6 linked regions of the Canis lupus familiaris genome follow. The protein of the gene in region 6 purifies or fractionates together with the protein of the main gene of each other region. This does not show direct contact. Links are inferred from orthologs where the notes say so. Each region holds a gene or a part of one and is shown on either strand. Other genes may lie near its edges.

The links.
Region 1: the proteins of MECP2 (region 6) and GTPBP4 purify together in Homo sapiens (affinity purification with mass spectrometry; 3 studies listed by BioGRID and IntAct, counting the BioPlex papers as one, with this or other methods). This does not show direct contact. The link is inferred for Canis lupus familiaris from reciprocal best matches to the Homo sapiens genes MECP2 and GTPBP4.
Region 2: the proteins of MECP2 (region 6) and KPNA4 purify together in Homo sapiens (affinity purification with mass spectrometry; 3 studies listed by BioGRID and IntAct, counting the BioPlex papers as one, with this or other methods). This does not show direct contact. The link is inferred for Canis lupus familiaris from reciprocal best matches to the Homo sapiens genes MECP2 and KPNA4.
Region 3: the proteins of MECP2 (region 6) and KPNA3 purify together in Homo sapiens (affinity purification with mass spectrometry; 3 studies listed by BioGRID and IntAct, counting the BioPlex papers as one, with this or other methods). This does not show direct contact. The link is inferred for Canis lupus familiaris from reciprocal best matches to the Homo sapiens genes MECP2 and KPNA3.
Region 4: the proteins of MECP2 (region 6) and TBL1XR1 purify together in Homo sapiens (co-immunoprecipitation; 3 studies listed by BioGRID and IntAct, with this or other methods). This does not show direct contact. The link is inferred for Canis lupus familiaris from reciprocal best matches to the Homo sapiens genes MECP2 and TBL1XR1.
Region 5: the proteins of MECP2 (region 6) and DDX56 purify together in Homo sapiens (affinity purification with mass spectrometry; 3 studies listed by BioGRID and IntAct, with this or other methods). This does not show direct contact. The link is inferred for Canis lupus familiaris from reciprocal best matches to the Homo sapiens genes MECP2 and DDX56.

The regions. Positions count from the first base shown.
Region 1 is NC_049223.1:33,007,659-33,012,599, reverse strand, and holds the start of GTPBP4 (nucleolar GTP-binding protein 1), read left to right. Parts: upstream 1-1,509; 5' UTR 1,510-1,618; coding exon 1,619-1,666; intron 1,667-2,598; coding exon 2,599-2,769; intron 2,770-4,912; coding exon 4,913-4,941. UniProt on the Homo sapiens protein: Involved in the biogenesis of the 60S ribosomal subunit. Acts as a TP53 repressor, preventing TP53 stabilization and cell cycle arrest.
Region 2 is NC_049255.1:26,745,500-26,749,904, forward strand, and holds part of KPNA4 (importin subunit alpha-3), read right to left. Parts: intron 3,609-4,405; coding exon 3,537-3,608; intron 2,187-3,536; coding exon 2,024-2,186; intron 1-2,023. UniProt on the Homo sapiens protein: Functions in nuclear protein import as an adapter protein for nuclear receptor KPNB1. Binds specifically and directly to substrates containing either a simple or bipartite NLS motif.
Region 3 is NC_049243.1:2,071,973-2,075,841, reverse strand, and holds part of KPNA3 (importin subunit alpha-4), read right to left. Parts: intron 3,335-3,869; coding exon 3,240-3,334; intron 718-3,239; coding exon 619-717; 3' UTR 1-618. UniProt on the Homo sapiens protein: Functions in nuclear protein import as an adapter protein for nuclear receptor KPNB1. Binds specifically and directly to substrates containing either a simple or bipartite NLS motif.
Region 4 is NC_049255.1:40,989,192-40,994,104, reverse strand, and holds the start of TBL1XR1 (F-box-like/WD repeat-containing protein TBL1XR1), read left to right. Parts: upstream 1-1,735; 5' UTR 1,736-1,829; intron 1,830-2,450; exon of another isoform or gene 2,451-2,469; intron 2,470-4,913. UniProt on the Homo sapiens protein: F-box-like protein involved in the recruitment of the ubiquitin/19S proteasome complex to nuclear receptor-regulated transcription units. Plays an essential role in transcription activation mediated by nuclear receptors.
Region 5 is NC_049237.1:14,117,785-14,122,932, reverse strand, and holds the start of DDX56 (probable ATP-dependent RNA helicase DDX56), read right to left. Parts: upstream 3,424-5,148; 5' UTR 3,323-3,423; coding exon 3,263-3,322; intron 3,186-3,262; coding exon 3,024-3,185; intron 2,581-3,023; coding exon 2,420-2,580; intron 2,248-2,419; coding exon 2,077-2,247; intron 2,000-2,076; coding exon 1,909-1,999; intron 1,367-1,908; coding exon 1,122-1,366; intron 800-1,121; coding exon 680-799; intron 115-679; coding exon 1-114. UniProt on the Homo sapiens protein: Nucleolar RNA helicase that plays a role in various biological processes including innate immunity, ribosome biogenesis or nucleolus organization. Plays an essential role in maintaining nucleolar integrity in planarian stem cells.
Region 6 is NC_049260.1:123,060,391-123,065,535, reverse strand, and holds MECP2 (methyl-CpG-binding protein 2), read left to right. Parts: upstream 1-1,974; 5' UTR 1,975-2,227; coding exon 2,228-2,325; intron 2,326-3,914; coding exon 3,915-4,998; 3' UTR 4,999-5,131; downstream 5,132-5,145. UniProt on the Homo sapiens protein: Chromosomal protein that binds to methylated DNA. It can bind specifically to a single methyl-CpG pair. It is not influenced by sequences flanking the methyl-CpGs.

The sequences.
Region 1 (4,941 bases), on a different chromosome or scaffold from region 6:
GGGGGGCGGGGCGGGGTGTGAGGAGGGAGGGGGCGGCCGTGCGGGGACTGGAGTATGAGGCAGGAGGGGGAGGGGGAGGCGCTGCGGGGGTCGGAGGGCAGTGCAGGGGGGCGGGGCGTGAGGCGGGATGGGGAGGCGGTGCGGGGGGGCGGGGTGTGAGGCGGGAGGGGGAGGGGTGAGGCGGTGCGGGGGGGGGCGAGGTGTGAGGTGTGAGGCGGTGCGGGGGGGCGGGGTGTGAGGCGGGAGGGGGAGGGGAAGCGGTGCGGGGGGCGAGGTGTGAGGCGGGAGGGGGAGGGGAGAGGCGGTGCGAGGGGGCGGGGTGTGAGGCGGGAGGGGGAGGGGTGAGGCGGTGCGGGGGGGGGCGGGGTATGAGGCGGGAGAGGGAGGGGAGAGGCGGTGCGGGGGGGGCGGGGTGTGAAGCGGGAGGGGGAGGGGAGGCGGTGCGGGGGGCGAGGTGTGAGGCGGGAGGGGGAGGGGTGAGGCGGTGCGGGGGGGCGGGGTATGAGGCGGGAGAGGGAGGGGAGAGGCGGTGCGGGGGGGCGGGGTGTGAGGCGGGAGGGGGAGGGGAGAGGCGGTGCGGGGGGGCGGGGTGTGAGGCGGGAGGGGGAGGGGAGGCGGTGCGGAGGGGCGGGGTGTGAGGCGGGCGGGGGAGGGGAGAGGCGGTGCGGGGGGGGGCGGGGTGTGAGGCGGGAGGGGGAGGGGAGGCGGTGCGGGGGGGCGGGGTGTGAGGCGGGACGGGGAGGGGAGGCGGTGCGGGGCGGGGGGCGAGGTGTGAGGTGTGAGGCGGTGCGGGGGGGGCGGGTGTGAGGCGGGAGGGGGAGGGGAGGCGGTGCGGGGCGTGGCGCGGGGGTATGTGCGGGGAGCCGAGGCCCCGCCGCTCGCCGCCGCCCTACCGTCCCCGTCCGCCTGTCCCTGCGCCCCGGGCGCCCCGTCGGAGCCACGCGCTCTGGGCTCCGGAGTCCTGGGGGTCAGGGGTCGGGGGCCGGGGGTCGGGGTCGGCGATCGCGCATCCTCTCGCGGGCCGGGAGGCCGAGACGCCCCGGAGTCCCGCACGCGGGCAGGTCACGAGTGACGGCGAACGCGTGCGACGGGGAGACGCCGGCCTGGGGCGCCGGGTCGGGCCGAGCGGGCGGGGCTGCGGGGAGAGCTGGGCCGGCGCGCCCGGGGGCGGGGTCCCGCAGGGCAGCCGGAACCTCACGGCAGGGTCACGGGGGTCGGGGCGCCCAGCGGGCGAAGGCGCTGCGCGGACGCGGGCCCCAGGGCTTATCCCCGCCCCCGCCCGCCCCTGCTGACCGCGGCCTCCGCCTCGCTCCCCATCGGATTCCCCGCCGACACCCCGGCGCCCCGACGCCCCGACCCCCGAGTCCTCCGGGCTCCCCAGTTCCCGGGCCCGTGACCCCCAGACACCACGTCCCCCGAGGACCCCGAGCTCCGGGTCCCCGCCCCGCAGGCCTGTCCGCCCCGCCCCGGTCCACCCGCCCTCCGCCCCCTGGGACCTCCGGCCGGGAGGGGGCGCCGTGACACCCGGAAGCCGTGCCCGAGGACGCCGGAGCGCCCGGAAGTGACGCGCATCCGGCGGAAGTCCCGCCCCCACCGTCCCGCGTGGCTGGCAGCCGGCATGGCGCACTACAACTTCAAGAAGATCACGGTGGTGCCGTCCGCCAAGGTAGGCGGCGGAGGGGCGGGGCGGGCTGGGCCTGCGCCTCGGGGGCACGGGGTCACCTCCAGCGCCCACCGCTCTTACGCCACGTAGTCTCCGGACTAGGGCCGCCTGGCTTAGCGGGGCCCCGGGGACGCGGAGGGGCCTCCCTCGGGTCGGGGGTTCCTCCCTCGGGGTCCTGGGTCCCTCCTTCGGGTCGCGGGCTCCTGGTCCCCCCCCTCGGGGTCAGGGCTCCCCCACCTCGAGGTCCTGGGTCCCCTCTCGGGGCCACGGGTCCCTCCCTAGGGTCCTGGTCCCCGCTCGGGGGTCACGTTCCTCCCTCGGGGTCAGGCCCCCCCTGGGCTCGGGGGTCGTCTCCAGGGCCGGGTCAGCCTGGGTCCTGTGCGCAGGGCCCTCCCCCCAGAGGACGGGAGGTGCGGTAGGGTCCCTCGGCCCCGCCCGGCGGGCCACGGGGAGGCGGGGGGGGAGGGCCGTGCCGGCTCCAGCAGGACCCCGTCCCGGCCTGACCGCGGGGGCGCTTCAGGCGAGACCCTGTGTCCTCGCGGCCGCTGCGATCTGGGAGACCACCGAGCGGGTGTCAGTCTTACTGACGTCCGTGTTTCCACAAAGACCTGCGAACTGAAACTGCAGGACTTGTTTTCCCTCCGAGTGTTTTTCTCTGACTTACGCTTCAGGCACCGGACTGCAGGGGGAGGAGCCTTGCTGGGAAGACGGCCTGGAGAGGTTAAGGGCGGGACTGGTCCTGGCAGCCAGCTGCTAAGTGGTTTTTTATAGGCTTGAAACTATGAACGCGAACGGAGTTGAATATAAGAAATTAAAGATATAGTTAGAAAACCGTAGTTCCACACACGGTACCGTTGGTCTTCTAAGAGGGTTTCAGATGAACAGGTAAGAAGCAGACACTTCTGCTGTACCTGCTGTGTCTGATTTGGTTGCAGGACTTTATCGACCTGACCTTGTCGAAGACTCAACGCAAGACTCCGACGGTCGTCCACAAACATTACCAAATCCACCGCATTAGACATTTTTACATGAGGAAGGTCAAATTCACTCAGCAGAATTACCATGACCGACTGTCGCAGATTCTAATGGACTTCCCCAAGTTGGATGTAAGTGCCCCAGGGACCCTGTAGTAAATGGTGTGAGCGTGAGCGTTCAGGTCACCGGTGTCTGCAGCCGGTTCAGGTACTTCCCCGACATGCACACCCGTCACACTTCCTGAGTTGGTGGCAAAGCTGGGCACAGAGCGCAGGTGTTTGGATTTCTGTCCCACAGCCAGAGCCCACGTACGGGGGTCCGGAGCCGTGCTGCAGGCCTTCCCTCCAACCAGCTCAGCTCTCCCAGAGCCTGCACTGCGCCTGGCGGCCTGCCAGCGGGCGTGACCTTCCTCCCTCCCTGTTGGCAAGGCTCTTTCTCCCGTGGTCTCAGGTCGTGTCCGTGGTGCGAGGTCCGCCACTGATCATGCTCGGCTCCGCATGGGCCTCTTTGTGGTCTGGGGGCGGGGGGGGGAGGGGGGCTACAGTCTGTGCATTAAGCTAAAACAGTTGAAGCCTTCCCGGCGTAGTCAAGTTTGCCCGTTGACGGAGCCGGAGAAAGCGAGGGCAGGCACTGCGTGTGGGGTCGCTGTGCAGGTCACACCGCTGCAGGGTGGTGTGAGGGCAGGTCAGCAGTACAGGGGGCGAGCCTGCATTTGCCACTGTCCCAAGATGGCCCGCAAAGCTAGGTTAAGGCAGAGGGGACGAGTTCCTTTAAATTTTTTTTTTTTTAATTTATGATAATCACACAGAGAGAGAGGGAGAGAGAGAGAGGCAGAGAGAGAAGCAGGCTCCATGCACCGGGAGCCCGATGTGGGATTCGATCCCGGGTCTCCAGGATCGCGCCCTGGGCCAAAGGCAGGCGCCAAACTGCTGTGCCACCCAGGGATCCCTCCTTTAAACCATTACAGGTGTGCTTAAAATAAGAGCGGAGATTGTGCTAGTCAACCGGCCTGGCATGCCACAGGTGCTCGCTAGAGGCCGCTTGAACACGCGAAAGCTTTTGGGGAAAGGGTGAGAACCCTAGAAGTTACCTGGGAAGAAGCACGAGAGAATCTGCAGCAGGCTCCGTGCTCAGCATGGACGTGGGGCTTGATCCCACGAGATCATGACCTGAGCTGAAACCAAGAGTCAGGTGCTTAACCGACGGAGCCCCCAGATACCCCCTCACCCACGTTTTTTAAGCTGAGAAGAAGATTAGAGTAGCTGCGCTCGTGCAGTGATTGACGTGTCTGGGTTCTGTTCAGGCCCTGGGAGCACGACAGCCATTAAGACCCGGGCAGTGGAGCAGGGTGGCGGAGGGAGAGTACCAGGGCTGGGTCGGGCGGATGTGCGGGCCAGCTGGCTGCTGCAGGGCTGCCGCAGGGCATGAGTTCTGTCCTTAGGCCTTCCAAGTTGAGCCTCATGCCGCCGAGCGGCCCTTGGGGGGAGCAGACCGCTTGAAGGTGATGCACCGAGTTACACATCTGCGGTGCTGGAGAGTGGAGTGCTTGAGAGGAAGAGCTCGTAGGTCTTCTCACAGGGCGGGTGGCCCGGAGCACCTGCGACAGCAGGGTGGCCATCTGTCCACAGGGGGGCAGGGGAGGCCGGAGGAGGAGGAGGGATCCAAAGTGTGGGTCAGACATCCGCGCAGACGTGCAAGGGGAGGTTTATGAGCGCTCTGGCCTGGAGACGTCTGTGCTCCTAGATCCATGCGAAGTCACCCAGGACGTGAGTGTGGAGAGAGAAGTGCCCCCGGGAACGCTGGTGTTGAGTGTTGGGTGGGAGCACGAGCCTGCAGGAGCAGAAGGTCGGTCCTGGGGGCAGCTGATAGGAAGCATCACAAAGCCTGAGTGGCGGCTGTCTGCAAAATTCCGGGAGGAAGAAAGGAGTTTGGGGAGGGTCCGAGCTGATGACTGTGGACACGCTCCTGGCGTGATGGGGTTTAGGGAAGAAAAGAGCCGTTCCTGTGATGCGTGCGAAGATAGGAGCAGAGGGTCAGGGGCCAAAGGGGCTTGCAGACCTTTACATTTGGGGGGGCGGGGTGCAATGACCAGGTGTCTGCAGGCATGGATTCGGGTCTTGAGAAGTGGGGGAGGGGGCGCGTGCCCAAGTGGAGAGTTGGCTGCCGTGGGAGGGATGAAGGGGGCACGGCGGGGCAGACAGAAGTGACCTCCAGGATTACTGACACGTTGAGATGAGACTCCTGTGCCAAAACACTGCTTTGTTTCTGTTCTAGGATATCCATCCATTTTATGCCGATTTGAT
Region 2 (4,405 bases), on a different chromosome or scaffold from region 6:
ATCAAAGCATTTCAGGGGAAAGAGGAATTGTTCCTATAAACATAAGTTTATTAAATCACAGGCAGAAACATTAAAAAGAATATATAAACATAACTGATTTGCAAATTACATCTTGTTTCGTTTTATAGGACTAATAATTTTAAGGCTTCTGAAGTAAAGTGAAACTGCCCTTTCATGAGTGTTCTTCCTTTATCTATTCCTTACATGGAGAAGTTGCTTTGCGCTCATTTCTCACTCTACACATTCAACTTAGTGGGCCCACACTTTCAGTATTTAGACAGGGGTGCCTGGCTGGCTTGGTACTTAGTGGAGCATGCAACTCTTAATCTCGGGATTGTGGGTTTGAGCCCCATGATGAGTCTGGGGATTGCTTAAAAATAAAATCTTAAACAAAAGAATTAAGCCACTATAATAGGGTGAGGACTTTTTTCTGAGCTTCAGAAGCATAAAATTAAAATGCCTGCGTGATAATTCCACCAGATATTTCATGGGTATGTAATGCTCAAAATGTCCAAACATAATTTATTACTTGCCTTTCTTCAATTAAACTATTTATTCTACTGTATTCTTACTTGATGATAATAAACAACTTGAAATCTGAGAGAAAACCTAATAAGTTCCCCTTAATACTCTATCATCAAATCTGTTCAAAAACCTGTAAGACTATCCATTCCTTGAATCCTGTCATCATTTATTGTGGCCCCTTATCACTATATACTTTCCTAACTGGTTCCTGCCTCTTTCTCCAATGGTCCCATTTCCCTGATATCCTTGCTCCATTTAAACATACCAATCCCTCAGATAAAATCTTTAAATGATTTGTAATACCCTGAGGCAGAATTCATTGGGAGTGTTTATAAGATACAGATTCTTGGCCTTACCTACAGTGATGAAGGCAAGGCTCAGATCTGTATTTTAATATATAAAAATTACATTTTTAATAATTAAAATGTTTACATGGGAAAAAACAGTAAAAACTTTTAAAGTATATTAACTATTTACTGGTACTCAACTTCCTAATTAGGTTCTCTATTCTCCATCTCCTATTCCTAACTTGATAGTTATGAATTATTTTCTGTTGCTCTATTTGTTACTTCAGTAACTTTAAAAATACTTCTTTCTTTCAAGCCTCTGAACTCCTCCATTAAGCAAATTGAAGATATGGTCCTCCTACTCTTAAGTTACTTCTCCTTTCATTTACTTCTCCACATCTGTCAGAAATCCTTTCCTTTTATGCTTATCCAGGTTGGTAACATTTACATTTTGTTCCACAGCTACAATTGAAACTACCATGTTCTATCTACATGGTTAATTCTAAAAGCTGAAAGTTAAGACATGCTATTTACATTCTGGGTGGCCCTGGCACAGAATCAGATTTGGGAACTATGGCCTTACAGAATAAAGAATCTGCTGTGCTACAAAGCTTGTAAGACGGCAGGGGCCTGGTTACTGGCTGTATCTCCAGCCTCATCTTTAGGCAGTGTCTACCCCATACTTTGTGATTCAGCAACACTGAACTACTTATAATTTGCTGAATGCTAGATCTCACCTCAGACTTTGCTCATGGTGTCTCTGCCTGGAACACCTTTCATCCCTTTTTACTTTATTAATCCTTATTCATCTCTCAAAATCCAGCTCAGGTGTCACTTCCTGCTTCTTCCAGGATGGATAAGGTATTTCATTTTGTTGTACATTTCTATTAGGGTAATTAGCACATTAAATCAGTTCATATTTATCTCCATGACTAGACTACATGCCTTGAGGGCAAGGACTGTGTCTTGTTTACCACTGTTTTCCCAGTACCTTAGCACAGTGCCTATTTCAAATACAGGGCAGCAATTCAGTTACCTAAGCATATGCAAGAAGCTGAGCAGGACTGTACATATAGAATATAGTATTTACTTTATTCTGTTACTTGATAATCTAAGACAGAAAATACAGAGGTGCTACATTAGTCAGAAAATAAAAAGTAGTTACAAAAAGAACATTAAAACTGTGAAATAATAGCTTGTAATACACTTGCCTCCACATTCTTCTATAAGATTGGCTATGGTTTCCGCCTCATCTTCAGCCATTTTTAATATATTACTTAGTCCATCAAGTACTACTTGCACAACCTGTGCATCTTTTACAGTCAGCAAGTTGCAAAAAGGTGGAATAACATTTTGCTGGATTAGATAGGCCACCTGAAGAATAAAAACACCATGATATAATAAACATCAGTGAACTGTGCGCACCATATGATCACACTGAAATAATTTTGACTTTAAAGTTTTGAGTATAGAAACATGACCTCATTTTTCACGTTATGTTAGACTACATTAGATAATTTTATTATTTTCTTGTTAGATTATTTTACTATGAGATTCCTTCCTTTAATGTAATGTTTACTTTTCTTGAACTTCGGAAAAAACAAGTGATAATGAAGGAATCACTTAACCTCATGCAAAACATCTGCCATAAGGAATACTTTCTTCAAAGATGCTTTCCTCCCCTTTAAGATTAAGAAATTATGACATCTGTAGAGGCTGGATGATAAGGGAACCATTTTTTAAGGGAACCATTTTTTTAAGGGAACCATTGTTCAACATAATAGTATCCAATGTGAGAATGCTGTATCATTTAGAATCCTCAAATACCTGGCTACTTTCAATTCACTATTCAACTGGTTCTATAATATTTTCATAATATTTTTCTTTCATTTTTATATTTTGTTATATTGTCATTTCCATGTACTATATATTTATATTCTGCTCTCTATTCATATTTAAGTGGATTCATTGCTCACCATCAGTCTATAGCTTATTTGTGACAATTATCAGCTTATTGTTTATTAGCTCTAAATTCACTCTTTTTACCTTATCTGTGAAATTTACCTGGAATCTTTTATTTATTTTTATTTTTTTTAAGATTTTATTTATTTATCCGTGAGTGACAGAGAGAGAGAGAGAGAGAGAGAGAGAGGGAGGGAGAGAGAGGGGCAGAGACACAGGCAGAGGGAGAAGCAGGCTCCATGCAGGGAGCTTGACGCGGAACTCGATCCCAGGACCCCAGGATCAGGCCCTGGGCTGAAGGTGGCGCTAAACCACTGAGCCACCAGGGCTGCTCTAGTTCCAGCCTTTTGGTTTACATTAGTTCCTTGCTTTGTTTGCTGCTGGTAAATTTTTGTTGTTTATGTTCATTTGTTATGAGAATCTGTGATGTTGTTTCATTCTATTAAGCTAAAAAGTCCTGTTTTTTTCCCTAATACTGTTAAAAACCAAATATATTTTGACTACATATGTTTTGATCTTACCATGGATTAGAAAATTTTTGTAGGCCAAGATGGTATAAAGAGAACACTTCTCATCTATGAAATGTAACCTAAGAAGTCAAGGTAACACTTTTATATGGGGGGGCGGGGCGGGAATCACAGAATGCCTATTATCTTGCTATTATTTTAAATTATGATTTAACTGAAATCTAAATCTTAGAATTTAGAATTTTTATGTATGTTATTTTACCAGTTCTGAGAAATAAGTAAGAGTTGAACTTACTTGATCTTTCCTCCCACTAATTGTTAAGTTACTTATGGCCCAAGCAGCTTCTTTCTGGGTGCCAAAATCCCCCTGTAAAAGCAAAGAATACAAATTGCAACACAGTGTAAACAGGGGAAAAAATGCTGTCTGAAATGATTTTCAACTGCTTATTTTCCCAAGTTTTTTCTAACCTTTCTATGTGCATACATAATTTTTTACTTAAGGAAGGTTTCTGAATTCAATTTACCCTAAACAAATGTAGACTCCCCTTTGCAAACTCTCCTGGCAACAAAGTGACTTGGTATTACTGTTCAATTAAATCAGATTAAATGAAGTCAGTGATAAAATAAAAGTAGTCCAAAACCCAAAAAGGGGGTGGGGGAAGGAGAATGTACACTTCACTTTAATCAAAGAAATGTAACCTTTTAAACACAAAGTTTTAAAAATGTCCACCATTAATAAGATGATATAATAAAAACATCACCCTCCTATATTACCTTTCAAATATAAACTGAAAAAGTACACTTAAAATCATTTAAAATCATATATGATTTAGTAATTTATTTAGTAATACATTTAATAATCATGAGGTTCTCAAAGTAATATTTAATAATCATATGAGGTTCTCAAATAATATATGAGAATCTTTAAGAATTTACCAAGAAAATAATTTAAAACAAAGTAATATTTTCTTTCCTTCTAGATATTATCGTAGTACTACATACTAGTCAAAAAGTAAAAGCAAGTAGAATTCTCAGCAGTGGAATAAATGACTAATTATGATGAATCTGCTGAATGGAATAATAACCAGTTGTTAAATACAAATTAGACTAGTAACCTGGGAAAATGCTTATAATTAAGAAAAAACTTATATGAGGAATAAAAAT
Region 3 (3,869 bases), on a different chromosome or scaffold from region 6:
TTTTGTTTGTTTGTTTGTTTGTTGTTTTTTTAGACTTATCTGTTTTAATCAATAACCAAGTTTCTTTTTTTAAGTTACTTTTTTTGTGTGTCAGTTAGTTCCACCAATGAAAATCATTTGGCTTGTACTTTAAAATCTATTCTTCCACATAAAGAATATGAAAATATGTTTGTGGAGGACAATGATGGAGGCTCAGATCAGACTGCACCTCTTGAAAGTCTTCCAACGTGTATATGCATCATACCAAAGTGTCTTGATCCACAGCGCACCGTTTTCCAAAGGAATATCAAGTGGGCAGCTGACATGCCACCGCTACGGAATATTCTAAACTGGAGACTGCAGTTGTCAGCGTGTGGCACCCGGGAACAGGGAAAAATAGGGTAGTTGAGATTGTTAAGGAGAATTCTAAAACAGTTTAGGAAATCATGCATATGCATTTACAGTCCATGTGATAGTAACTTTTGGCAACTGCAAAGTGACTGAGACATGGCTTGCTTTAGAAGCATCAAAACGAAGAGGCATGTGTGTTTTGGAGCCTTTTGTTGTTCTTCTTGTCATTTGGTAGCCGTCTGGTGGTGCTTCGTACTGAATTGGGAAAGATGCTGCACTCAACTGAACTCAAAAATTAAATTCTTTTGTTTGAAGGTTGGCTGTTGGGTCAAAGTTGTAAGTACCTCCTTGTGTTGCTTCGGGAATGAGGCTAGGATCTTCATCAATCTATAAAAAAGCACACAAAAAATATCCTTATTATGTTAAGATACTAGATGTGGTATAAGCAAATCTTTCTTCTTATGAGAGAATTCTTTACAAATGTTGTAATCATTCTTTCTTCTTTTTGAAGATTTTATTTATTTGACAGAAAGAGTTTCAGAACATGAGCAGGGAGGGGGGGGTAGGAGAGGAGAGGGATAGGCAGGCTCCCCAGGGAGAGGAGAGGGATAGGCAGGGGCCACACATAGGGCTTGAGCCCAGGACCCAGAGATCATGACCTGAGCCGAAGGCAGACACTTAACCAACTGAGCCTCCCAGGTGCTCCTGTTGTAATTATTCTCTATGTTTCAATCAATAAATAAAAACAAGTAAATCAATAATAATATTAATAAATTTAACTTTTTTTTTGAGGATTTATTTTAGAGAGAGAGAGAGAGAGAGAAAGAGAGAGAGAGAGTGGGTATGAGTGGGGGGAGTGGCAGAGGGGGAGAGAATCTCCAGCAGACTCCCTGCTGACTGTGGAGCCCAACATGGGGGTTCAATCTCACGACCCTGAGATCAGGACCTGAGCCCAAATCAAGAGTCCAAGAGTTGGATACTCAACCAACTGAGCCATCCAAGTCCCCCCAGTAATTTAACAATTTAATTAAACTGAACACATATAAAAATTGCTCCATTCTTTTTTTTTTTTTTTTTACCTCCTCCCTCATCCATGCCTCATTCTTAAGTTTCTGTATCTGTAGATTTATTTTACTCATCTCAACACACATCATTTCTATAATTACAGTTGACCCTTAAACGACACAGGAGCTAGGGAAACCAATCTCCTCCCCAAAGCAGAGTCCAAAATCCAAGTATAACTCCTGACTCCCAAAACTTAACTATTAATAGCCTACTGTTGACCGGAAGCCTTACCAATAATATAAACAGTTAACATATTTTGTACATTATATGTATTAAATACTGTATTTATTTTTAGAGATTTTATTTATTTATTCATGAGACAGACAGAGAGGCAGAGACACAGGTAGAGGGAGAAGCAGGCTCCATGCAGGGAGCCCGATGCGGGACTTGATCCTGGGGCTCTAGGATCACGCCCTGGGCTGAAGGCAGGTGCTAAACCGCTGAGCCACCCAGAGATCCCCAATACTGTATTTTTAAAAGATTTTTAATTTATTTATTCATGAGAGAGACAGAGAGAGAGGCAGAGACACAAGCAGAGGGAGAAGCAGGCTCCTTGTAGGGAACCTGATGTGGGACTCGATCCCAGGACCCTGGGATCACGACCGGAGGTGAAGGCAGACGCTCAACTGCTGAGCCACCCAGGTGTCCCTAAATACTATATTCTTATAATGAAGTAAGCTAGAGAAAAGAAAATGTTACTAATCATAAGAAATAGAAAATACATTTTTTGGAAAAGATTCTATTTATTTGAGAGAGAGACAGAGAACACAAATGGGGGGAAGGGCCAGGGAGAGATACAAGCAGACACCCTGCTGAGTCGGGAGCCCCACATGGGGCTCAATCCTGGGACCCTGACATTATGACTTGAGCCAGTCAGACGCTTAACTGATTGAGCCATCCAGGAGCTCCAGAAAATACGTTTATAGTACTGTACTGTGTGTGTGTGTATACACACCTATATTTGATATATATATATTTTACATACATATACCTGTATTTGATATATATATTTTTTACATACACACACACACCCTATTTGATTATTTGATAGTTTGGTAATTATATATATATATATAAAATTATATATTATATAATAATATATATAATATATATTATATATTATAATATAATAATTATATATATATATATATATATATATATATATATATATATATATATATATATATAATTCTACCTATAAGTAGGCCTTTGCAGTTCAAACACTTGTTGCTCAGGAGTCAACTGTAGTATTTCTTCCCATTTAACAGATTAAAAAAATTTTTTTTTCTTATTGCATTTGTAAAGTAATCTCTATGCCCAAGGTGTGGCTCAAACTCACAACCCTAAGATTAAGAGTCTCATGCTTTACTGAATGAGCCAGCAGGTGCCCCTTCAAAGAACTGTTTTTATATTTTTACTTTATAATGATGTTACATACACAGTATTTAAACAAATGATTGATGGAAAATAATCATTAATTTTTTTAGATTAAAAATAACTGGAAATGCCACTTCAAGAGTATCTGATAGAAATATATTATAAAATTGTCCTATTAATGATAAAAGGAAAATTCTTAGTAAATTTAGAGTATGTACATTTTTTTTTTTTAATTTTTTTATTTATTTATGATAGTCACAGAGAGAGAGAGAGGTGCAGAGACACAGGCAGAGGGAGAAGCAGGCTCCCTGCACCAGGAGCCCGATGTGGGATTCAATCCCGGGTCTACCAGGATCGTGCCCTGGGCCAAAGGCAGGCGCCAAACCGCTGCGCCACCCAGGGATCCCCCAGAGTATGTACATATTTTAATGTACATGCAGGCATACCATACTTTAATGTATACTTACATCATCACCAGAGAAATATTGATCTATGATTTCAAAAGCTAATTTATATATGTCTTCATTTTCATGTTGCTGTAAAACTTCGATTTTCTCCAAACCTGGTAATAAAAACGAACAAAATCAGATTCTTAGGCATATACACATATAAAAACTGTGTTCATACTAACAATGGAAAATCTGAAAGAACTCAGAATACCTTCCCACCATTACCCAAAGATGAGTTTTCTAAAAAACAGATAAAACCCTGGGCTGCTCTGGTTGAGGACGAGCATCTCACGAATTTCTTCCTCTTAGAAACCCTTGAGGTACCCTGGTATCTGAGGCAGACAGTTAAAAAAATCCACCTAAACGCTCTATTTGACAGATGAGGAAGCTATGATCCAGAGATGTAAGGGGTTTACTTCGGGTTGTGTGGCAAGTTAGTGATTGAACTTGAACCAAGGCCTCCCCAGACCGTTTTAATGGAAGCACATTATCTTGTATAAGTAGTTTTTAATGTTTCCATTGTTTTCCAAATGTTATTACTTTTATAAAACAAGTTTTCAGAAACTTCATGATTAACTGATATAAACAGAAGACAAAGCTTTAAATTTGAAGTAATTTCTTTCAAGAAAAAATCAAATAGGGTGCTTA
Region 4 (4,913 bases), on a different chromosome or scaffold from region 6:
AACAGAAACAAAACGGAGCAACAAAAAGGTCTCTTTGAGGTCAAATCTTAAAAGGGTCCTAGGCTGATGCAAAGGCCTAAGACCCCCTAAGACCCCCGAGGCCCGCTTGCTGAGGGCCTGACACTGGCCCGTAGGCCTTGTGAAGCGCTGCTCCCCTTGCCTCGCCGCCCCGGGACGGGTCCTCTGGGGCGAGCCCGGGCGCGCTCCTCCAGCAGGGCCGCGGGGGCATAGGGCCCTACACACTCGGGGACATGGTTTTAGTTCGGTGACCGGAGAACCGCACAGACCCCCCGGACGATGAACCCCAGCACGTCGGCTCCCAGGACACCTGGGCACGAACCCTGCAGGCCCCGCCGGGCGCTTAGGGGGCAAGGCCAGGCCCTAGCGTGCGCCCCACACCCCGCGGCCCGGCTCCCCTCGTGACCAGCGCTGCTCCGCCGCCCTGCAGGTGCGCCCGGGGCCCGCACCTCCGGCCCGGAGCCCCGCAGCCAGGGCGCCGCGGGCCTGCCCACCTAACTAGCCTGGTCTCCAGGCGGGCCACGCACCCCCGCACCCCCCGCCCCGCAGCTGGCCGTGCAGCCGGAGGCCCGCACCCCGCGCATCCCCCCGCATCCCCCCGCCTGCACCCCATTGGCCCCGCAGCCACCTGCGCACCTCACGGTCCGCACCTATCGGTCCCGCACCCACTGGCCCCACAGCCGGCCGCGCACCCCTTGGCCCCGCAGCTGGCCGCATCCCCACCCCCCACCCCGCACCCATTGGCCCCGCAACGGGTCACAGACCCCCGCCCCCTCGGCCCCGCACCCCACTGGCCCCGCAGCCGGCCGTGCACCCCCCACCTCGCCCCCTTGCCCCACACCCATTGGCCCTGTACCCGGCCCGCATCCATTGGCCCCGCACCCCCTTGCACCCCCTCCCGCCCCGCACCCATTAGCCCCACAACTGGCCTGTATCCTCCCTCCCCCTCCGCCCCCCCCCCCCGCCCCGCACCCATTGGCCCCGCAGCCGGCCCGCACCCTCCCCCCCCATTGGCCCCGCACCCCCGGCCCTCACCCATCGGCTCCGTAACCGGCCTGCATCCCCTCCCCCTCCGCCCCGCAGCCGGCCCGCACCCATCGGCCCCGCAGCGGGCCGCGGCGGCGGGGGCGGGGCGGGCCAGGCCGGGGGAGCCTCGCGGCGCCTGCGGGTCTTTATTCGTGCAGGACTCGGCGGCGCGCCCCCAGCCCCAGCCCCAGCCCCAGCCCCAGCCCCAGCCCCAGCCCCCAGCGTCGGCGGAGGGGCGGGCGGGGCGGGCGGGCGCGAGCGAGCGCGGCGCGGCGGGCCGCCCCCTCCCCGTCGCCCTCCCCTCCCCTCCCCCGTCCGCGGCGCCCCTCCCCCTCCGCTCCCGGCCCCGCCGGCCCCTCCCCCGCGCGCCCGCCCGGCGCAGGCCGCTCGGGTTTGTTTTGCTGAGCGGCCGCCGCCGCCGGGGCCTCGCGAGCTCATTTGTGCCTGGCTGGTCCCCGCCCGCTCCGCGGGGCCGAGCGCCGGGCCGTGGGCTGCTCCGAGCCGTTGGGCTCTCTCCCTCGGTGACGGCGCCCACCCTCGCCCGGCTCCCCGCGCCCCCGCCCGCGCCCGCGCCCCGCGCCCCGCCCCTCCCCCGCGGCGGGAGCCCCCGCCCCGCCCCCCCGGCCCCGCGCCCCCGCCCGCCCGCGCCCGCCGGGGCTCGCAGCGCCGCGCACCCCGAGGGGTTATTTTGGGGGCGGCTGGCGGCGGCGGCGGCGGCCAGGAGGGGACTTTCCGTGCGCCTCGGTTCCCGGGAGGGGGAGCGGCGTCGGAGGCCGGCGTCCCAGGTAAGCGCGGGGGCGGGCGGGCGGGCGGGGGGGCGCGGGGAGGGGAGGGGGCGGGGAGGGGCGGGGAGGGGCGCGCGCGGCCCGGGAGCCCCCTCCCCCGCCGGCCGGAGCGACCCCGGGGCCCGCGCCCCGCCCCGCGCCCGCCCCCGCCGGCCTGGGGGTCCCCGGCCGCCCGCGCCCCTCCCCCGCGCACGGGCCCCTCCTGCGCGTGTGCGCGTGTGTGCGCGTGTGTGCGCGTGTGTGAGTGTGTGTGCGGGGCGGGCGCGGGCGCGGGGCGGCGGGGGAGGCCTTCGGGGAGCCTGTGCGGCAGAGCCGGTGCGGGAGCCATCATGAGGCCGACTCCCGGGAGCCTATTTTTAGCCGAGGAGGGAGCTCTCGGGTGCACGTTCCTCGGTTCGCAGGGGCGCTGTGCCGGCGGCCGCGGGCGCGGGGGGAGGGCGCGGGGGGCGGGGGCGGGGGAGGGGCGGGAGGGCGCGCCCGGGGCGCGGGGGGAGGGCGGGGGCGGGGGCGGGGGCGGGCGCGGGGCCGCGTGCGTGCAGCGGGCGCCGGGGCTGGCGCGAGGAGGCGAGGCCGGGCCGGGCCGGGCCGGGCCGGGAAGTTGGGCTGGGAGCGCGGCCCCGGCGAAGTTGCGGCGGCCCCGGTGAGCGTCGGGCGGCGGGTCCTCGGGACGCGCTGGGGAACTTCCTCCTCGCGGCCCGCGCGTTTCCTTCCTTCCTGGCGTTCGGGCCCCGGCGGACTTTGTGACTGACGCGGCATCGCGGTCCCCGGGCGGCTCGGGAGCCCGTGCGCGTGTTGACAGGTCCGGCTCCGGCACGAGGCCTGCCCCCCCAGCGGCCGCGGCGGCTCGCCCTTGGGTCGTGCGGTGCGAAGGGGCGTCTCCGCAGGGCTCGGGGCGCGCGTGGGGGGCTTCGTGCGGCCTCGAGGGGTGGCCGGGCTCCCGGTACCCTGCTCCGAGGTCTCTTGCGCCAGGCTCCCGGGTAACGCGCCCTCAAGAGACCCCTTGGTGATTGTGAGTGGACCGAGGTTGGGACCTACTTAAGAACGAGATGATTTTTTTCCGTCTCCCCCCTCCCCCCACCCCGATGTCTGGAGTTTACTTAATACTTAAAACCTTGCACTGCGCAGGCACCCAGGTGAGCGGTGGTTTAGGACCTAGTGTCATTCGCAGCCCACTTGGGGGAAGTTCGCCGCGGGCGCTCACGCCGGAGCCCTGTGCTGTTCTCCACGGGCCTGTTAATAAAACGTGGTGGCTGAGAACGACGGGGTTATTTTTAGTCTGAATTGCCTGCCCCCTCCCCCCCATGTAATTAAGTAATCATTTTTCTCCTCCTTTTTTTTTTTTTTTTTTTTTTTTTCTCCTAAAGACTCCTTTATCAGATTGGATAATACAAGGCCCTGGTGGTGTTTTCCTCTTCCTACTAAAGCAAATTATAAAAAACATCCTGGTTAACACACTGAAGGTACAGCAAGTGACTTTTTGGCTCCCCCAGTGTGGTTCATTTTCATTTTCTGCTAAATAAGACCTGTGCTACCCTGGCGTGTTTTAGTGAATCCTTATTTCCTGGGACTCTGTGTTCTCACCATTTTAATAAGTTTATAGTCTAGGGAAATAGGGCAGCTTTGTCTCCATGAAACCTGTGTGTGTTGGGTCGTATCATGGGAGTTGATGGCAGGCAGGCTTCGAGATGATCACTGAGGGTTCCAGAAACAGTTACCGTTTACCTGTGGAAGAAGGGGTGGCTGAAACAAAATATGCCTCAGGGTGGTTAGGCATGTCATGTGTGTTTATACTTTTGCTCTGAATTTGTGCTTTCCTGCCTGTTTGGAATATGATTTTTTTTTCCCTTCCAGTTTTGCTGTAATGCATTGTGTGATGTATGTAACCACAACTGTTACATCTACAAACAACGGCTATTTTTTTTTTTTGTTTGTTTTGTTTGCAATTTGAGTAGTTAGATTCAGACCTATAGGGCAAAACACTACACTGTATGGAGTCCGAAGACCGTTTGTACTTGGAAAAAGTTTTTCTTACTGTTCTGGAACTTAATTAATGGACTTGTTAATGGCTTGAAAATTGTTGCAAAGCTTCCAGTTTATAAGATGCTTTTCTTGTAGCCTGGTGTACCAAAGTTGGTTATTAACACAGGAGACACACGTGGTAAATGATGTGGCCCCTCGTGGAGCTTGAGTTCTTGCACTGGTTGCCTCAAAGAAGCGATCAACATTTTAATGACTTTTTACGTGTGTCCAGGAATTTTTTTGTTTTTGTTTTTGTTACTTGTACTCTCAACATCCAGTGAAGGGTTGTCATGATTCCCCTTCCAGGGGAATAAGAAGGAACCACTTCCTGGGAGCCTTTCAAGCTAATAAGCAGAAAGGGCAAAAGCTTGATATAAATATAGGGGTTACTGATAAAGAGAGATGTGGCTGATGGACCTTTGGAACAACAACCTGTTGAAGACGTATCTGCTCGTACATGGCAGTGAGATAGTACAGCCTTGTCAGATGAGTAGCTGACACAGGCATTCTACTTGTACAAGTTATTCCAACAGAATTACTACAAAGAATTTTTGACTTGACACATTTGGATGAAGTTAGTAGAAGTAATTTGTTGGGTTTATTCAGTTCCTGTGTTTCTTATATAAAAGTTGAGAGGAACGTGATAAACAGTAAGTCAGGGGGCAGATGCCAGAAATACTGGCACCATCCGGGACTGTATTTCTCTAGTACATGTGAATTTGACTCCTTTCATAAATAACTTACAGTGCAAGTCACTGAAATGCAAAAAATAAAGCCCGAAATAAGTAACCATGAGACACGGATACATCCCCACAGTAGAGAAGGGTTAGGACCCGGGGCTGTGTAGTAGAGAATGAGTGAGTGTAACTGGTCCATTTTGGAGGCCACCACGGTGACCTCTCCTGTTTAAACACCAACAGAAACTTTAAAAAAAAAAAAAAAAAAAAAAAAAAAAGGCTGTGAGAGAACTAATGTTGGAGAGGTTTACTGGCTACACCAGCTATGGGATTAGACTCCGGAAGAGTACAGTCAGGCACGGTGTCGGCAAGAGCTAGAGGAAGGGGC
Region 5 (5,148 bases), on a different chromosome or scaffold from region 6:
CTGCCAGCTCGATGAATGTAGGCCTCAGGGGTGGGAGGCAGGTCAAAGTTGAGCACAGAAGACACATGGTGGAAGTCTATGCCCCGGGCCACGCCTGCCTCCGGATCAGAGGCCCTGTGAGGAGATGTCCCAACGTCAGATTGACCCCCTCCCTCCAGGTTGCAACCTCAAGCCATTTAATCAGCAAAATCACTCAATAAAGCCTTACACAAGACTAGAAGACTCTGATAGTTTGGAACCCTGAAACCCGGGCCACTTAGTAACCATTGAACAAGGGTGGCCAAATGATTGCCCTGATGCCAGTGCTGGGGGGGGAGCAGAACCCACTGCACACGAGACAACCCCAGATCCATTCCTGGCCAGACGGCCTGCTAGGCAGAGACTGGAACTCCCGATCCCTTGGGAAACCTTCCTCCTTGTGGGTCAGAGCTGCACGTGCAGGACGGTTCACCAACAATCTACTACACTTGGCCCTTCCCACTGCCCCAGAGCGCATGCATGCACACCCTTCACTATCCTCTAGACCCTGGCAACAGAGCGAGGGCTCCGTGGGCCATGGTCAGCAGCCAGGCCCCAGCACCAGACTCCTTGCTCAGGACACTGGTTTCACCACCTTCTGAAAGGCTGAGAAAACAGGTCTCCCTGCAGTGCACCACGAAAGGGAAACACCAGCACTCACCTGGTCCCCCGGGATCCTCGGCCCCGACGCCTGCCCTTGACTAGGGATCCCAGGACTTCAGCATCAGTCGCTATGACACAGTCATAGAAACCCTGGTTGAACTGTGAAATAATGTGGCACCTACAGCCCAAGAGCAGAGAAAGGATCAGCCCCCAAAGCCAGCTGAAGGGCCCTCCGACCCCCAACATCATCACGACTGTATTCTGACTCTTCCTTTTCCAGCTCTGCTCCTGCTTCACCTTTAGGCCTCAGCGCCTCAGCTGAAGACAATGTGACAGCAGGAATCTCAGAGCTGTGACACAGAAAGCCAATGAGAAGCACTCAAGCCCAACCCACAGGCTGGGCTCTACCTCCCACTTTAGACACAGGAGCAGCCCCCGTGTCTCTCCTTCTCAGTCCCCTGCTTCAGTGCTTCTCAGCCAAAGCGCCAGAGCGGACAAACCTGGAACACAGTGGGAGCTCTCCGTTGAGCACGCACGCCGGGATGCTGAACTGCTCCAGGAAGAGGCGCAACCGATAGCTCCGCTCCAGGGTGTTGACAAAGAGCAGGCACTTGCCACGAATCAACGACAGCTTGAGCAAGGCGTACAGCAACAGGAACTTGTCTTCCTCTGTCTCGCAGACCACCTGGAACTGCCGCAACTGGTCTGGCCCGGGCAGCTGGGACTCCTGCAGCTTGAGAGTGACCTACAGGAGGTAGGTGCCCCGAGGTCAGGGAAGAGGAAAAAACAGAACTGCCAGCTGCTGGTCCAAGCCAGGGCACAAACGTGCGAGGGCAGAGCACCTGGTGTCCCCTCCGACCAGGTGATGTGAGGACTCAATGTACCCTGACTGTGGTGTACAGAGAATGTACAGTTACAACATGCTGGGGGCCCAGAACAGAAAGAAACACATGATAAGCAACTGCAGTGAGGAGGAGAGCCCCAAGGCAGCAATCTCTCAGGACTCAAGCTCACGTACAGCGAGAGCTCTGACTGTGCTGCTCAAAGCAGCCTTTCTGACTCTTGAGGGTCCCAATTCAGGCCTTTATGTAAAGAAGCATTGTTTGAACCACTACCTACAAATATCTGCAAATACGCAGTGACCGTAAGAAGACGGCACTGTAGATGGCCACCAGTTTCCAGAACCTCCAAAACATGAGCAACTACCCCACCCGAAATACCAAAGAACTCCTTGGAAAGTTAACAATCACAGGCCAGTGGCTCCAGATGCTCCCACAGTGCCCTTACCGGATTATGAAGCACCAGCTCCTTGAGTGCTTGCACATCCTCGTTAAAAGTAGCTGACATCAAAAAAGCCTGGTAAATCCGAGGCAAGTGACTAGAAAAAAAACAGCCTGTCAGATCCCAGCCCTAGGCCCTGGTGTCTACTCACAGCCCCACACACCTCTTCCTTACCAAAGAAGACCTTTGAGTTCTTCCTCAAAGCCAAAGGAGAAAAGAAGGTCAGCCTCGTCCAGCACCAGCAGCTCCAGGGAGTCTCGCAGGACCAAACTATCCTGCTGCAGGTGGTTTAAAATGCGAGACGGGGTCCCCACCACGATGTCAGGCTTCTCCATCAGCACAGCTCTGCAAGCAGCAGACACCTCCGTGTTGGGAAGCAGACAGCAACTCATGCCCCCACCACCACCGCAGGCTGGCCGCGCCTCCTGCTGCACGGAACCCAGCAAACCTGATCCCGCATCCCCATCCCGCATCCCCGTGCAGGTCATCCCTCTAGGGCTCTGTGGCTCTCACCCACCGCTGAGAGGCTGAGTCTTCAGCAGCTGAGACATCAGCCACCCGGATGTCTCGAGCGCAGTAGGAAGCCAGCTGCTGAATCATGGATCGGGCCTGCCGTGCCAGCTCTTTGGTGGGCACCAGGACAAGCCCTCTTACAGCCTGCTCCACCGCAAAGCCTGTCTGCAAGAGCACCAACGACAGACTTCAGCCAGCCAGCCAGCGACCTCAGGGCCACCTGACCCAACCGCGGGGTCTTCCGCTCCACCACCCTGGCTGTGCTCTGACCAGTCCCTCGCTCACCTCCGCGCAGCCCAGAACGGAACGAAGGGTGGAACAGAGGGCCCCTCCCCCAGCACCGCCCGTCAGGGGGCACGGCTCGGCGGCGACCCGGGGATGCACGGACTGCAGCGGGAGCGCTCGGGGGTGCGGCTCACGCTCCGAGAGGGGGCGTGTCCGCCCTTTACAGCCGGAAAACACAGGGCAGCGCTCACGTCGCGGCCGCGGCGCCCGGAGCAGGGCCAGAGCGCGGAGCACACACACCGCACCCCGGGGCGGCCTTCGGGGGCCCCGGAGCCCCCCGTCCCTCCCCCCGGTCGCCCCAGGAGCGCCCCGCCCCCACCGACCGCCTTCCGCTGGAGCAGCAGCTGCAGCGCAGGAATGGCGTAGGCGGCCGTCTTCCCCGAGCCGGTGCGCGCCCGGGCCAGCAGGTCCTTCCCCTCCAGGGCCAGCGGGATGGCCTTCTCCTGGATCAGCGTGGGTCGCGACCAGCCCAGGTCGGCGACGGCCTAGAAGACACGACGCGCGGCTCAGGCGGCGCCCCGCCCCCAGGCTCGTGGGCCCGGCAGCTCGTCCCTCCCGGTACCTGCAGCAGCCGTGGGTCGAGGCCCATGTGCTCGAAGCCCACCGCCTCTGGGTCCGCCATGCTACGGCTCTGCGGGGCCGGTGCGTACGCATGGCAGGAAGGGGCCGACGGCGAGCGGCGCAACCACCAATCAGCGTCCCGGGAGCCGCCCCCCGGAAGTGCTGTCGCCCGGCTTCCGGCGTCCGGGCGGGCATCTGCGGCTGCAGTGGTTCGCGGGGTCCGGGGTCGGTCTGTGCGTGCCGCGCTCAGCGGCTGCCAGCGGCTCCTTCGCCAGCCTGGCCGTCGGAGCTGCGCCGGCTCTGCCCATCTTGCTCGGCCCGGCGGACAGTGCAGACACCTGGGACGGACCGACCGACCGATCCTACCCCCGGGGCCCAGCCGGAGACCCCCGCCCCCCGCAGCCTGACAGCCTCGGTGCAGCCCCCCCCACCTCCGCCCTGAGCCGTCCCTACCCCGGAGCCCAGCCTGAGACCCCCCGCAGCCTGACAGCCTCAGTGCAGCCCCCCCACTCCGCCCTGACCCGTCCCTACCCCTGGAGCCCAGCCCGAGACTCCCCCCACCCCCAGCCTGACAGCCTCGGTGCAGCGCCCCAACTCCGCCTTGACCGGTCCCTATCCCAGGGGCCCAGACCAAGGCGCAGCTAATCCTCATCCTCCCTGTGTTTACTCTAACAAGGAAATCAAAAACCATTGTATAGACATTCAAAGAAACTTAAGTCAGTTATCGTTGGACTGTTCTACACCATCCCGAATTAGAACATAAGGAACATGTAGTTTTAAAAATACTTTAAGAATATTAATGACAGGGACGCCTGGGTGGCTCAGCGGTTGAGCATCTTGCCTTTGGCTCAGGGCCTGATCCAGCAGTCCCAGGATTGAGTCCCACATCTGGCTCCCTGGGTGCAGCCTGCTTCTCCCTCTGCCTGTGTCTCTGCCTCTCTCTGTGTCTCATGAATAAATGAATAAAATATATTTTTAAAAATGTTAATGATAAAACCTAGAAGACAAACTTCCAGATCGTTTTGTGAGTAAAAGTAGGTACACACAGGAAACGGTATAGGACACACGTATGAAAAAAGAAAGCGCTAGTTCTGTAGGTCAAATAAGCAATGTTGTTAAATATAAATAAAACCATGAAATAAAAAGTCAAGAGCGGGCAAGTTTAATACCACACAAGGGCAGAAGGGCAGGATACCAAGATGCTCCAGTTCCATCCTAGGAGCTGAGAAACAACTACTGTATCTCCTCAAAGGATGCCCCACCGGTGGCCTACATGGCCGACCTCTGGGAGTGGCCCAGCGACCGCCCAGCTGTTCCCCCACCCATGGATGCCTGGCAGCTGGCAGCCTGGGCCTGCCTGCTGATGTCCCCCGCAAAGGCCAAGGGCCTTTCCTCCACCTCCCTCCGTGCCTCCCCTCTGCCCGCAGCCTCTTACTTCATCTCAAACACAGCTACTACAACACATTTTATTTCACTGGAAAAATCTGTATGAAGAACCAAATGTGGTTCCTGTGAAGAAAACATTTAGCACAGCTTAAATAAAAGTTAGGAAGGTGGGAGGGTAGGAGGGCCCTGCCTGTGCTGGCTCTGGCACTACCTCGCTCTGGGGCCCAGTGATTGAAATCCCAGTGTCCCAGGGAAGTCTCGGCCCTCACAGTAGGCCTTGGGAGCACCTGTCAGGTGTGAGCCCTGCTGTGGCCCTTAGCTAAAACGTATGGATACACAGAATGCAGACAAGGCTGCAATGCTGGTCATACACAGGCAGGAGCACTTCAACCAGGAAGTAAAATATATATAATTTATCAAAAAATAGTTCTAATATATAGAAAAACATCTCAATCCTCCGAGGCCTCTGCCCTTCTTAACATTCACAAAGCCACTGAGCTA
Region 6 (5,145 bases):
CTAGAAGGGATTGACCTTGATGGCATCGACACCCTTGATTGTATCTAAGAGGCATTCCTGGGATATGTGGTTTGTACTTGACCTCATGGATGGTTAAACTATTTGGGGAATATAAATGAGTGTTCTGGAGAAACCAAACCTTTCCCATGGGTGCAGTGTTGTCTGCCGACTCCAGGACTATCCAGGTTCCAGGGAGTAGCCCTGGCCTTCAGCGGTGGCCCGTGGACTGTGTGGGAGTGGTCATTCCAGTTCATCTGCCACTCTGCTGCTGGCAAGCTCCCCTTCTCCCCTCTGTGTTGGGGGACTACAGGCTATAGGCCACACCAAGCTTCTCAGGATTCTTCCTCAATTCCTGCTGAAAGGCTAATAAGACTGTGATAATTGAAAACTAAGCTCTGTGCTGCAACAGATTAGAGACCCTCACTTTACAGCAAGAGAAGATCTCCTGTGGGCCGTGGGCTAAATCAGGGTCACCATGGCAGCCATGCTTTAGAGTCCTGAGCTGCTAAAGGATGACCCAGGATAGGGAGGAACTCAGGGACAAGCCTGTCTCCCAACCCCTGACCTGAGCTGTTCAGAAAAGGCATGTTCTCATGGTGCCAAGAGTCCTGATACTAACCCACCTTTGGCAGCTTACTGACATCATTTGAGTCTGGTTTCCAGTACATACCACAGTGCCTCCATTGGAGTCTCCACAGTGTGAACAAGGGGGTTGCTTGGGGTAGACTGGCCATGAGGCAGTGACCAGTGCTGACACGAGCCACATGGGACAGGGCAGCTCTAGGGCTTAGATATCAAGGGCAGGAATAGTCTCATTCTCTTCTAGACTGAATTGCTGAGAGACCAGCAGATGGCTGGTTCCAAGCCTCCCCAGCGTGGGTGGTGTTCCTGCCCTCTTAGCCCTGCTTTAAGAACACCACGGGCGGACTGATTCCAGGGTCCAGGGCCTTTCCAGTGCACACAAGGAAGGGACCCTACCAGGTGGAGCCAAAATAGCAGGAAGGAGCTGCTCTGTCAGTGTGAAAGCATAAGGAGGTGCCCACCCTGGAGTGGGGAGGGTGCTCTTCTGTGCCTTTGTCCTTGCTCTCCCCTTCTACTGGTTGAGTGTAAGGCAGTCATGGCTTGTAAAGGAATGTCTGATAATAAAAGTTTAGCAGACCTGGGGTGCCTTCTCCTCACTCCAGAACCCTGGGCAGCAGTTTCTGGTTGCCCGAGTTGGCTAGTGTTTATATGGTGCTTTTGTGACTTTTCTTCCTCTGGGGTGTTGGTGCCTATTACCAAGATGAGGAAACTAAGGCACGGAATGTTGAGGTCACTTGCTCAGGTCCATGTTTAGAAGTTGCCAAGTCAGAATTTGAGCTCAGGTTGGGCTGGCTCCAAACCTGTGTGTTTTCTCCACAGCACTGTGCTGTGCCTTATCTCCCAAGGGGGTAGTGCTAGGCTCTGCCACCATCAGTAAGTTGCATCGTGCTCCCTGACTGTTTTATCAAGCACACATTTGAGAAAACTTACAATACAGAAGCTATACTAACACCCAAGCCAGGTCTTTCGTGAAGAGGAGCCCTGGCCACATTTTGGGTGGGCAGCTCCCTCTCCAGTAGTCAAGGGCCTCTTGTCAGCCATGAAGTCTAGAGACTGTTGGGCACAGCTTGTAAAGTGGCCTCTTCCGAGGCAGTACACTGAGAAGCCACCTAGTGTTTCTACCCAGAAAAATGCCGCTCATTCTCCTGCTTGTTAGGAGTGGGACTTGGGACAGAAGGACTCAGAGTGGTCACAGTGCAGGTAGGGTAAAGCCCAAAGCCCCCAAAGAAATCTTTGAAGGAGAAAGGCATCAGGATCTGGGTGAGCATCGGTGGGGCAGCCCTGTCTCTCAGAGCCCTGCCTGTGCTGGGGTGCCCCAAACCCGCCATTGCTTACTTTTTCTACAAATCGGTGTGTTCCCTGTGATACTTACATACTTATTTAACACTTCAGGGAAGAAAAGTCAGAAGACCAGGATCTCCAGGGCCTCAAGGACAAACCCCTGAAATTTAAAAAGGTGAAGAAAGAGAAGAAAGAAGACAAAGAGGGCAAGCATGAGCCCCTGCAGCCACCGGCTCACCACTCTGCTGAACCAGCAGAGGCAGGCAAAGCGGAGACCTCAGAAGGGTCAGGCTCAGCCCCAGCTGTCCCGGAAGCTTCTGCCTCCCCCAAACAGCGACGCTCTATCATTCGTGACCGGGGACCCATGTATGACGACCCCACTCTGCCTGAAGGTTGGACCCGAAAGCTTAAACAAAGGAAATCTGGCCGCTCCGCTGGGAAGTATGATGTGTATTTGATCAAGTAAGTAAGGGCAACTCCTGTCTCTACAAAGCAGGGAAGGCTGGGTGGGCAGGAGGCTGGGGCCAGGTGCTGAGAAACTAATGGGGATCCCTTAGAGTGGCAGCTCTTTTTTTACTCGATGATCAGGAAAATGTGTGTATATCACCCATCTTGGGCTGGGGGTGGCTTCAATAATGAACACCACTTGCAGACCCCTCCAGGTATGTTTCAAATGACTGTGTACAGAGTTCACCGCCCTGAGTGTGACTTTACCCCACCAGCCCTTGAGGTCTTGTCTGGAGATGGCATCGCAGTAGGGCCTACCCAGGGCCACAGTGAGGACACAAGAAAGAGAGGTCGCCTGAGAAACATTGAGGACACAAGGCCCTGCCCAGGCTGGTCCCAGAGGCCACAGGACCTGCCATGTGTAGTGGCCTGTGCTTGGAAGGCAAGCAGGGCTCTCTGGGTTCCTCTCATTTCCCAGCTGGGAAACATCCAGCTGATGGGCTCTTCTCAGAACCTGTTAAACAACTCTTCTTTCTGTCAGTCATTCCGTGACTTGGCTGCATGACCCAGAAGAAGTAGGAGTTCAGAGGGCTCAGTCTACTCTCTGAATCATGTTGGGAAAGGTGAGCTCTCTGACAGGGCCTCTGGGGACACATTGGTGTCTCTTCATGTGCCTTTCCAACTGTCATTGGTGCATTTGTCCAGCTTTGAGCTGGTCATTGGGCATTTTCTATTGAAACAGTGTAATTCAGGGATCCCTGGGTGGCGCAGCGGTTTGGCGCCTGCCTTTGGCAGAGGGCGCGATCTTGGAGACCCGGGATCGAATCCCACGTTGGGCTCTCAGTGCATGGAGCCTGCTTCTCCCTCTGCCTATGTCTCTGCCTCTCTCTCTCTCTCTGTGTGACTATCATAAATAAATAAAAATTTAAAAAAAAAAAAAAAAAAAAAAAAAAAAAAGAAACAGTGTAATTCCCAAGCCAGAGCTTCAGAGAAGGACTGAATAAATACATTTCAGTTCTGGCCCTTAGATGATCCAGAAAAGATAAACAGTTTATTTGCAGACATCCTCATTTGATCGCAACAACTCTGAGAAGGGTGAACAAAAAGCATTATCCTACTGACAGATGAGGAAACCGATCCCAGAGAGGCTAAGCAGCATGCCCAGGTTCAGACAGAGAGGAGTGCTTTACTTACTGACTGGGCCCAGGCACCAACCAGCAGAATGCCTGCCCCTCAGCCTTCTGGCTCAAGCGGGTCTCCAGGCCAGGCCCCTTTGGGAGCCAGAGGAGGGGCCTTGGTGGTAGGCGGATCCTCAGGGGCAATAGCTGCAGAGCAGCTGACACCCAGCTGTTCTTGTCACTGGAGCACACCCTGTGGGTGCTCTCCGCCGCCCAGCAACCCAGTTGCTTTGTGTGTGACCATGCCCCTCTAATTTCAGCCCATTTTGGCTTTTCTCTAATGTGACTCTCATTGAATAGTATCATCAGGCAGGTCAATTGCAGAACGTCCTGTCACAGAATTCAGCACATTCTTCCTGCCCCATCTTTGTACATTAGCGGGGAAGCTTCTAATCGTTCTTTGTGTCTCTCCATTTGTTCCCACAGTCCCCAGGGAAAAGCCTTTCGCTCTAAAGTGGAGTTGATTGCGTACTTCGAAAAGGTAGGCGACACCTCCCTGGACCCTAATGATTTTGACTTCACGGTAACTGGGAGAGGGAGCCCCTCCCGGCGAGAGCAGAAACCACCTAAGAAGCCCAAATCTCCCAAAGCTCCAGGAACTGGCAGAGGTCGGGGACGCCCCAAAGGGAGCGGCACTGCGAGACCCAAGGCAGCAACATCAGAGGGTGTGCAGGTGAAAAGGGTCCTGGAGAAAAGTCCCGGGAAGCTGCTCGTCAAGATGCCTTTTCAAGCTTCGCCCGGGAGCAAGGCTGAAGGGGGCGGGGCCACCACGTCAGCCCAGGTCATGGTTATCAAACGCCCAGGCCGGAAGCGAAAAGCCGAGGCTGACCCCCAGGCCATTCCCAAGAAGCGGGGCCGAAAGCCAGGCAGTGTGGTGGCAGCTGCCGCCGCAGAGGCCAAAAAGAAAGCCGTGAAGGAGTCTTCCATCCGGTCCGTGCAGGAGACTGTGCTCCCCATCAAGAAGCGCAAGACTCGGGAGACGGTCAGCATTGAGGTGAAGGAGGTGGTGAAGCCCCTGCTGGTGTCCACCCTCGGCGAGAAGAGTGGAAAGGGACTGAAGACCTGCAAGAGCCCCGGACGGAAAAGCAAGGAGAGCAGCCCGAAGGGGCGCAGCAGCAGCGCCTCCTCACCCCCCAAGAAGGAGCACCACCACCATCACCACCACTCAGAGCCCCCGAAGGCACCCGCGCCGCTGCTTCCGCCCCCGCCCCCTCCCCCACCTGAGCCCCAGAGCTCCGAGGACCCCGCCAGCCCCCCTGAGCCCCAGGACTTGAGCAGCGGCGTCTGCAAAGAGGAGAAGATGGCGAGAGGAGGCTCGCTGGAGAGCGACGGCTGCCCCAAGGAGCCAGCTAAGACTCAGCCCACGGTCGCGACCGCCGCCACGGCCGCAGACAAGTACAAACACCGAGGGGAGGGAGAGCGCAAAGACATTGTTTCATCCTCCATGCCAAGGCCAAACAGAGAGGAGCCTGTGGACAGCCGGACGCCCGTGACCGAGAGAGTTAGCTGACTTTACACAGAGCGGATTGCAAAGCAAACCAACAAGAATAAAGGCAGCTGTTGTCTCTTCTCCTTATGGGTAGGGCTCTGACAAAGCTTCCCGATTAACTGAAATAAAAAATATTTTTTTTTCTTTCAGTAAACTTAGAGTTTCGTG